Linked DNA regions of Schizosaccharomyces pombe. The gene in region 2 interacts genetically with the main gene of each other region. Each region holds a gene or a part of one and is shown on either strand. Other genes may lie near its edges. The genes, in order: upf1 and rex2.

Region 1 (5,494 bases), on a different chromosome or scaffold from region 2:
GACACCTTCTATCATAAAAATTGTAAAGAGCATGCTAAAAAATGCTCTCATGACTCCATTGGAAAAAAAGGTATGAGAGTACCAAAAAACGCCGTGGTGATAAGGACGCCCTTGGTGTTGGATACAACTTCTAATACTCTTAATCCTAAAGTCATGATTTCAGGATGGCAATTTCTTATGGGAGAGTTTCCAAGTGATGAACTTCTCTATTTCCCAAGATTACCCGTGAGTTGTCTCTACAAAGTTTCAGAAGACGGTCTCATCAAAGATTTTTTGTACGCGATTGGCATAGAAGCTAAAAAGTTTAATAATGAAAGGAAAAAACGAGAGTTAGAGGTTATTCCTCCAGACGTAAAAAGCGCACTACTTCCTGCGAGAACGCACCCAAACCTACCTATTGCACTACGCACTTTATTCAATAAGGCACGCACTTGAATTTTTACGATATTTTTACATTTTGTATAAAATCAGACTACGTTAATCTAATCTGTCGTGTTCAAATCGTCAGAAAAGGTTGTTTTCTGTTATTTTTTTGCTAATGTTGTATTTATAAAACCTCTTAGAACTGGCTATCTGTTGTAATTGGCTTATTTTACATTACTTTTCTCCATTAAGGCTTTTAAAAAATTTTCGTTATGCAATTAATCATTGCAAATCCTTCCTAATAGGGCAAAAGTTCTATTTTATACTAACAACTTCTCAATACTTAAATTTTATACGCGTATTGTACCGTGTGAGTATATATAAGTATATATAAGTATATATAAGTATATATGAGTAAGATGCATTTACTAGACAAAGAGGAATAAAATAAAAGAAAGTGATAAGGAAAGGTTCTATTACTAAAGTCTATTTAACAGCCATATCAATGGTTTAAAACGCTTACAGACCAAACGGTCCATAAAACTTGAACACCAAAAATATCAACAAATAAAAGATATGTTGGCATTCGTAATTACAAGTAAGCAAATACTTATTAACTAGAACCTAGTAGGTTCGTCGAACTTGCTTTCATCATCACCAACCTGACTTCTAAAGTCTTCAAAGTCGGTAGCGTTGCTTTCTCTTCGTTTGTATTGAGCAAAGACATTCCATTCTTCAAGATACGAGGAAGAGTATAAGTTCGGAAGATTAGAAAACGAAGGTAACATGGCAGAACCGGCATTCTGTATAGGAGATAGTGATCTTTGTACATTGAGGTCTCTTTTAAATTTTTGAGGTTTCTGAGGAGGAGTAAGGGTTAAGGAAAACTTTTGTAAGCTGTTCAAAGTGCCTTCAACTAAATATCCTTTTTCCTTGCAATGGAGGACAAAATGATACCATAAAGCATGTTTAGCAAGGACTTTTGGATTACCGAGAACAATTACACCATACTTTGCTCGAGTCAATGCAACGTTCAACCTTCTTGGATCGTTAACAAAACCAATACCTTGGTGTTCACTAGAACGTACACACGACAAAATAATGAAGTCCTTTTCTCTTCCTTGGAACGCATCCACCGATGCTACTTCAACAGCTTTATAAAGATCCTTCTGCATTGATCCGTTATTTTGCATGTACTGAACAATATAGGAACGCTGACCATCATATGGAGTAACAATACCAATTTGCTCAGGAAGCACGTTGCTTCTTAAAAATGTGGTAACAATTTTTTCACACGTTGAGGCTTCCGTTCTGTTTAAAAATGATGTACCGCTAGCCGACAGCTCTTCCTGACCGAAATTTGCATAAAACATTAATGGCGAATCAGGTTGTATCCATGGAAAATCAACATGTCTAGCAATACGCTCAGAAGTAGTGACACCATTTTGAAGAGTACCTTCATAAAAAGTGTTCGATGGAAATTCTGAAAGACAGGGATGCATACGATATTGCACAACTAATCTGAAAGGAGAGTTTCCTAATATAATCAGTCGCTCAAAAAGTGATTGGGAAAGGCTAGCTAATGCAACCTTTTTATTCATAACAACCGGTCCCAGTTGTTGGTGATCACCAACAAGTACTACTTGTTTGGCGCCTAAAACTAAAGGAATCATGCATTCAGGTTCTGAAGCCTGTGTAGCTTCGTCAATAAGTACTGAACGAAATTTGTACTTGGAAATCCTTCTATCACCAGCACCAACACAAGTACAACAAATGACATGAGCCGCACGTAATAGTTCTTTTTCGGCAGCAGCAACCAAAATACGCAGTTTTTTTTCATCCTGAATAGATAATTCGTTATTTTCACTTCGTAGCTTCAATAAACGTTGTAACTCTGGATTAAACTTATAGTTTTTAATTTGCTCATGAAGAGATAAAAAGGAAACCGATGATTCTATGTCTTCTCTAGACTTTGCGGCAACTCGAACGACACGAAGTCCTGTACGATGTATTTTTTCAGCAAGTTGGTCAACAGCAACATTCGAAGGTGCACAAACTAATACGGGAGAATGGGATTTACGCTTGCGTGATTGCATCGTGGCCAGGTGATAGACTACAGATGCTGAGGTGACAGTTTTTCCAGTACCTGGCGGCCCTTGAATTAACGAGAGTGGCTTACTTAATACTGCACGAACAGCTTCGCTCTGACTAGCATTCAATTTTGGCAGATTAGGCACCGATAAATCAGACGGTAATTTTGGTTTCAGGAAGGAAGGAGGGATATCGTGTCCTAGCAATTTATGATACAAAAAGCTTGAAAGACGTGATCCGTCTGTAGCAAATAACCTCAAAGCAGTCTGCATTCGATCAAATGAAGTAGATTTCCAAACATAATCGACGGAAAAATTATGAGTACATTCGATAGGTACTTTATCTGAACGCTTCAGTTCTAAACCTACCTCATCTGAAACGTTGTTAGGAATTTTAATAACATATCCTGTGGAGCTCCAGGGTGCTCTTAGTTCTCCTTCATATGTAAGCTTCATTTCATCTCCTATGGCCAACCGAATTTCACCAGATTCAAGTTTGGGAAGGAGAAACCAAGCAGTATATCGTTTATTGATAGCTTGATCCCACCGAACCACAACATCTTTTTGAGTCTGCGATTCTTTGAGTCGTTTATCATAGTCAGCCTCCGCTTGAATGAGCGGAGAAAGAACTGCTTGATACGCGTGAGCATCTTTATATCGAAGTTCTACTGAAGGTAATGAATCATCCTCAATGGGCTTATCCAAGTCTTCGAGGTTAGCATTAGGGTCTTTACGCCAAAGTTCTTCAAGCCTAACCATTTGCTGTGAAGTGATTGGGATTGCAAGCTTTTGTTCCTCTTCGGATGGAGGAGTTATCAACCATGGAAGAAACTGACGATCTGAAATAATGGGTTGCCATTGAGTCAAGTCCCAGTTCATATCCTTAGCTATGCTAGCTCTAGCACAAGGTTGTCGGCATAATAAAACAACCACTGTCTTAGCTTTTGCTGGTATAAATCCTAATAGAAACACATTTCTCGTTCCACAATTATAACACTCAAGTACTGTGTCTGAAAGAGAAGAATGGCTATGTAAAGCAACCTGCTTATGTCGAGCACGAACTAGGTGACTAATGATATGCGAAGCTCCAGATTTCCCTCTTACATTACAAAACCATTTATTACAATGCAAACATTTCAATATAGAATTTGGATTCTTTATGTGGCAATAGGCACAGTGTTCTTCAGAATATTGTTTTTCGACTAATAATTCTTCAAATTGATGCTCTAGTCCATTTTCAGAAGTCATATTTTTTGAACTAACTAAAGATGAAATATCATTATTAGGTTGTAGCCCTAAAGACATGGAAAGACAACTTGATATGTTATTAAGCCGTCAATTTGCAAAGTGTAAATAATTGTAACACATTTTTAGAAAGAAAGGTTAGTCATTTAGTGAGGTTTAATGAGTTAAAATGTGCTGCTAGGAAGCTCCCTAAAACGTAAACAAAAAACGCCGTTAATGGGAAAAACTAACAATAGCAAGACTCATTTACTTGTAAGATATTATATCTATTCAGGGTAGATAAATTTTGTCAGTTTCGAGATGATCATTTACGTTCTTGAAACAGCTGGTCGTACTATAGATTACTAAATAAGGTAGAGCACTGTAGTATTGTGACACAAATCGGTGCTCACTATTGGAATTAAACAAAATTATATAAACGGTTGCTGAGACCATGTAAACAATCATATTGAAGACTATTAATTTTTTGACTAACAGTTGTCGAAAAGTAATAAACAGATATTTTTAACTTAATATCGGACTCTATACAAATTTATTAACATGAGAGTTGTATCTACTCGCTCTGGAAGTTAGCATACCAAGTGTACCGTTACCCATTTTGAACTTTTCAAGGAGTGTGTTACTTCCACCTATACAACAACTGCCCGTGTGAAACTATCCAAATTGAAATAATTTTAAGAATTTCAGGCCTCTTAATTGTCTGAACTTCTTGGAGTTTATGTGGTGCTTAGCGGCAAACTCTTCATGAACTGAAGAGGCTTCAAAGAGGGGACTTCGAATGCTGCGTTTAACAAGTTGATTTACTTGTAAGTATTTGTTCTCCAAATCCGGGTTTAATTCCTTCTTTTAAAATTATTTTTCGTTTCACAACATTTCATTTTTCCCCACCCTGGTTTAAGCAGCTAGTGCCTTTAATTATTTGATTTTTCTACTTTCTTTACGTTAATCAACTTCGACAACAATTATAAATGGTGGGGTTAATAAGTACAAGCGAAACGCTGCCTAAACAGGAGAGTAAAAGTTCCTCAGCCCCAGTGTCTAATTTCCTTTCTCCTAATAATCTGACTGAACAGACATGCAGTCCTCTAAGAGCTCATTCTACTTTTAAAGAGCCCGTATTTCTGTTATCGCAACGCCAATATTCACACAATAGCAAAATACTTACAGAATTAATAAATAGTGTGAAAAGGCCTAACAAGCCCGATCAAAATGAAGAAAAATCGGCTGTTGGAATAGAAGAGAAGTCCTTTAAAGATGAACACTTGGCACAGAAAAAAGGATTGCATCATTTTGCAGATCTAAAAGAAATCTTTCTGAATAAAAATTTGAGTACTTTGGATGGTTTACAAGATGCATCGCTTCATGACAACATACAGAGTGGAAAATTAGACAACCCAGTTATATCTCAAAACCGTCGCATTGTACTAGAAAAGCTTGCTAATCCCAATTCCAGCAAAGAATATGAAACCATCCCTACAGTCGAAAACCGACATCCACTCAACAAATTAAGCAAGACAAAAACTTTAGCTTACGAAGAAACTATTAATCAGCTAGATGAAACCCCAGGAGGAACGAATTATCCCATGAACAAAAAAAAAACATTATCTTCTGAAACTAACAAATATGAATATCCACAACAATCGAAATTCCATGAATGTTCTCAATTTGCTTCACCACGGTCTTCTATAGTAAATGGACCCAGAACCCTCGGAAAAAATTCTAAAAGAGCTGATGATACTGCAAGAATGGCTTCGCGAATGAAACCATCCAATTTTAATAATAATATTCAGAGCAGT
Region 2 (4,565 bases):
CAACCAGTTTTTTTTCATTAAAAAAAAAAAAATTCGATGTGATAAACAGTTAGTATAGTCAATCTAGCAATTATTAAGATGAGAAAATACTCAATGTCTATTTTATTAGTTTATTAAGGATATCTATACTTTGGCTTTTCAATTTAACCAATGCTGTTTTTTTTTGGTACTTGAAGCCGCAAGCTTTCTATTCAATTCACTACCGTGGTTTACCATTGAATTTCTCATAACTAAGATTGCCGCTCTTGACTTCAACATCGACTGTTATATTTCTTTTTTAAGAATATGCATTTCATTTTTTTGTACTGCTTTCTTATAAAGATGGAGTTCTTGACTAACAACGTGTCTTGAACAGACAACAAAAAGTCGGTACGAATCTCCTCTTACTTCAGCCATCTTTTATATCAACTTCATGATTATCTTAAGAGGAACAATCAATTTTATATGCTTAATTTCTTTCGTATATGTACAACTAGAGTCGTCACTGTTTTAAATTTTGATATACCCAAATCGTTGTCAATACTTTTACAAAATACTCATCTTTAGCTGAAAGTTACACAACGAAATCTTTCTAATTAAAAAATTGTGTTTGCAAGTACTCAGAGTTGTTTTCAATTGATATCTTTGCATTTTTTACTTTTGTTGCAAATAGTGGTACGAAGTTTCAGACGTGATTGCCTCACAAATTTTGGGGTTTCATAATTTAAACTTAAAAAATGCAGGGAAAGATATTCATACTACCCAAAGATTCTACAAATCAACAATTTGTTGAACTCTCACATCCCTTGACCGGGAGACCACTTCGTTATTTATTAACAAACGATCACCTTTTACAAATCCTTCAAGTTGGGGATTCTTCAAAACAAAGGTCTTGGTTTGTAGGGGATCATGTAGTATCGGACGGATATCTCTATGTTTGCACCCCGATAGACTTACTCGCGCTTGTGCTTCCAATCATTCAGGAACTTACTTGGAGTCGCCGGAAAGAACCGAATCGATATGTCTCGTTTGAAGACTTCATTGAACACTTTGATAATATGGGTCCTCATTATCCACGAGTGTCAGAAGTCCTCTCTCCGAATTTGTTGAACACATTACATCGGATTTGTAAAGTAAACGAGCCAGTAGGATCTTTGCCCAAGACCTTTCAACTGGATGAATCTTCTGTTGTTAAAATTTTACTAAGGAAAGCCAAGGTTGCTCAAGAAAATCTTCCCCCTAGTATTGTAACCGAACTTAAAAAACAGTTAGCGCCTTTGGACCTCCGCACGCCGCTTCCACAAGATTTACTAGAATTGTCATGCAAGTGGCATGCCGCTTCATTGGTTTGTGAAGATCTTCAACCTGAATGGTATAACAAATTAGCCTACTGGCAGGAAGAATTGGCCCCACTGCACGCTTACACTAAAAACTTAGAAGAATCAAGAAAGATTTTGGTAGAAAAGGAAGCTTTGTTAAATTCTAAAAAACGTCCACAAAACAGTGATATTACATCAAGTCTTTTAAAAAAGCCCAATCGGAAGCAGGCCACCAAGAAGTCCAAATACTTCTCAGGAGAAGGAATGACGAAAATATCTTCATTCTTTACAAAAAAGTAAGATCACCGAGGTATGATTTTGCTTTTATTTTTTTCTTAGCATAGTACCCTTAATTTTTTTGGCATGTTTACAAGATATTGTCAATTGCTGTAAAAGTGGAATTCTTCTTTCTTGAGCAATGTTTCAAGAAAGCCAATAAGAGCGGTAATGTTGAAGTTCACCAATACTTTCAAGAATATCCGACAATGCGCGATGATCACCCTTTTTATCATAAGCAGGAATATCCGGGCACCAGCGTTTGGCTAATTCCTTAATAGTAGAAACATCGATAATTCTGTAATGCAAATGTTCGATTATCTTTGGCATCTCGACAGATAAAAACCTTACGTCTGCATGGACACTGTTTCCAGCGATTAACGCTTCTCGTTTTTTTGGAATGTATTTTTTAATGTATGCTAACAACTGGTTTTCAACGTCTTTCACTGTTAAATTACTCTGTCTACATCTTTCCGTAAGACCACTTTTCCCATGTTGCTGTTTATTAGTATAATTAGAAAATTGACATCCGTGAATGAACTAAAAGCAAGAAAAGATACCTCAATACACCAGTCATTCATTTCACTCAATTGCTTTTCGTCGAGTTTAATAACAGCATCAAATTTCTACGCCTTAGTTAGTATGACAGCCTTAATAAACGCTCAACTTCGAAACCATGCATTTGTTTCTCTTGAAACATCTCAAGTTAAAAGCCGATGTTTCAATGTTCACAATTAAAAGTTACCTCTTCAACGGGGCGAAGATTTCCATCAGTAATGATTGCCGCGACCTCCATCAATACATGCTTTCCCACCTCTAACCCGGTCATCTCTTCAATCATATTAGTACAAGTTACCTATAAAACCATCGTAATGCATTTTAAAAGCTAAGATTATACTAAAGCTCACTAACCGCAATCAATCCAAACAAGGGGCTGCTTTAAATTCGACATTTTGAGGTTGGAGAATGGACTTTTCAATTTTGAGATGAAATCTTTATATTAGTAAAAGTTTAAAAACTGAGGTACACATCGACAAAAAGAAACTTAAACATGTAAATTGTAGAAATGATAACTTGATAGACTGAATCTAAACATACTCGTATTCGTTGATAAGTCTTGCTGGAAAATGGGTTTGGAAATTTGACAAATATTTTTGCGATATGTTGGCTGCAAGAAGCGCGAATGCAACGAGCTAGTGCGTTTGCTATACAAGCGTTTTTTAATGTGATATGACTGCAAAATGATTCTATTATTTAAGAATGCACCTTGCATATGAAAATACGGTATTATTACTTAATGAAAGTACTTCGTTGTAAGTTGGATTTTAATATCCGGGATTTTTTAAAATTAAAAACTTAGCTATCGATTGATTTTTGCAATGAAAACTAGTAATAGTATGTTTATTTAAACGTTTTGAAACAGTGTTTGTATTCCAAAGACAGCATTACCTAACCCCTTAATCAGGCAGGAATAGAGGGAAGTGATGCACATGACACTTCCGTAACTAAAGCACCACTAAAAACATCCGTTCCAACACCATCCACCTCTTTTCTCAATAACGGCTTGAATAGTTGTAATTTCAAGGTTTGTATAGGAGATCTTTGTGATTCAATCTAATTCATAAAAGTATTTAAACAGGAATCGCTTACAACCTAGTTTTTTGCATTCGATAGCGGAAAACGGAGACATCATATTTGACAAATCTCCAGCACAAATCGTTCAAAGATAATGAGTGGACAAAACAATGTAGTCGGTGTCCACTACAAAGTTGGAAGAAGAATTGGCGAAGGCTCGTTTGGTGTTATTTTTGAAGGGACGAATTTGTTGAATAATCAACAAGTAGCCATTAAATTTGTAAGTGAGAATCCATTTGATGCCATGCTTTGAAGCTGGATATTTTTCTTGTTTCCTTCATTACTGATTGATTTTGCTTATAGGAACCAAGACGCAGTGATGCTCCTCAATTACGTGATGAATACCGTACTTACAAGTTGCTGGCAGGATGTACGGGTATTCCGAATGTTTATTATTTTGGCCAAGAAGGGTTACATAACATTTTGGTGATTGACCTTCTTGGGCCAAGTTTAGAAGATTTGCTCGATCTCTGCGGCCGTAAATTTAGTGTAAAAACAGTTGCTATGGCCGCAAAACAGATGTTGGCAAGAGTGCAATCTATCCATGAGAAGAGTCTCGTTTATCGAGACATTAAGCCTGATAATTTTTTGATCGGTCGACCAAACAGTAAAAATGCTAATATGATCTACGTAGTAGACTTTGGCATGGTAAAATTTTATCGTGATCCAGTTACCAAACAGCACATACCTTACCGGGAGAAAAAGAACCTCTCGGGTACTGCTCGTTACATGTCTATTAATACTCATTTGGGTCGGGAGCAATCCCGTCGAGACGATTTGGAAGCCTTGGGTCATGTATTCATGTATTTTCTTAGAGGTAGCCTACCTTGGCAAGGATTGAAGGCTGCCACCAATAAGCAAAAATATGAACGAATTGGTGAGAAAAAGCAAAGTACCCCGTTACGCGAGTTGTGTGCTGGTTTCCCGGAAGAATTCTACAAGTATATGCATTATGCTCGTAATTTGGCATTCGATGCTACTCCAGATTATGATTATTTGCAAGGCCTATTTTCGAAAGTCCTAGAGCGATTAAATACTACTGAGGATGAAAATTTTGACTGGAATCTATTGAATAACGGTAAAGGTTGGCAAAGCTTGAAGTCGCGAAACGCAGAGACAGAAAATCAACGTTCAAGCAAACCACCAGCACCCAAATTGGAATCAAAGTCACCAGCCCTGCAAAATCATGCAAGTACTCAGAACGTAGTTTCCAAACGCTCTGATTATGAAAAGCCTTTTGCCGAGCCGCATCTGAATTCTGCAAGCGATTCTGCTGAACCCAATCAAAATTCTTTACCTAATCCGCCAACGGAGACGAAAGCTACCACAACTGTGCCTGATCGTTCCGGTTTAGCA

Evidence for each region.
Region 1: of rex2 (region 2) and upf1, a mutation in one rescues a mutant of the other (synthetic rescue), as found in Schizosaccharomyces pombe (one study listed by BioGRID).

What each region holds. Positions count from the first base shown.
Region 1 is NC_003424.3:800,330-805,823, forward strand, and holds upf1 (ATP-dependent RNA helicase Upf1), read right to left. Parts: upstream 3,805-5,494; 5' UTR 3,759-3,804; coding exon 981-3,758; 3' UTR 812-980; downstream 1-811. Other genes in the region: Clr6 histone deacetylase-associated PHD protein-1 Cph1, read left to right, coding at 1-435; DYRK family protein kinase Pom2, read left to right, coding at 4,667-5,494. UniProt on the Schizosaccharomyces pombe protein: RNA-dependent helicase required for nonsense-mediated decay (NMD) of aberrant mRNAs containing premature stop codons and modulates the expression level of normal mRNAs. Also capable of unwinding double-stranded DNA and translocating on single-stranded DNA.
Region 2 is NC_003423.3:4,071,873-4,076,437, reverse strand, and holds rex2 (RNA exonuclease), read right to left. Parts: upstream 2,871-4,565; 5' UTR 2,848-2,870; coding exon 2,673-2,847; exon of another isoform or gene 2,568-2,672; coding exon 2,487-2,567; exon of another isoform or gene 2,406-2,486; coding exon 2,320-2,405; exon of another isoform or gene 2,201-2,319; coding exon 2,135-2,200; exon of another isoform or gene 2,073-2,134; coding exon 1,722-2,072; 3' UTR 1,599-1,721; coding exon of another isoform or gene 717-1,598; 3' UTR 677-716; downstream 1-676. Other genes in the region: rnh202 (ribonuclease H2 complex subunit), read left to right, coding at 717-1,598; serine/threonine protein kinase (CK1 family) Cki1, read left to right, coding at 3,304-3,429, 3,513-4,565. UniProt on the Schizosaccharomyces pombe protein: 3'-to-5' exoribonuclease specific for small oligoribonucleotides.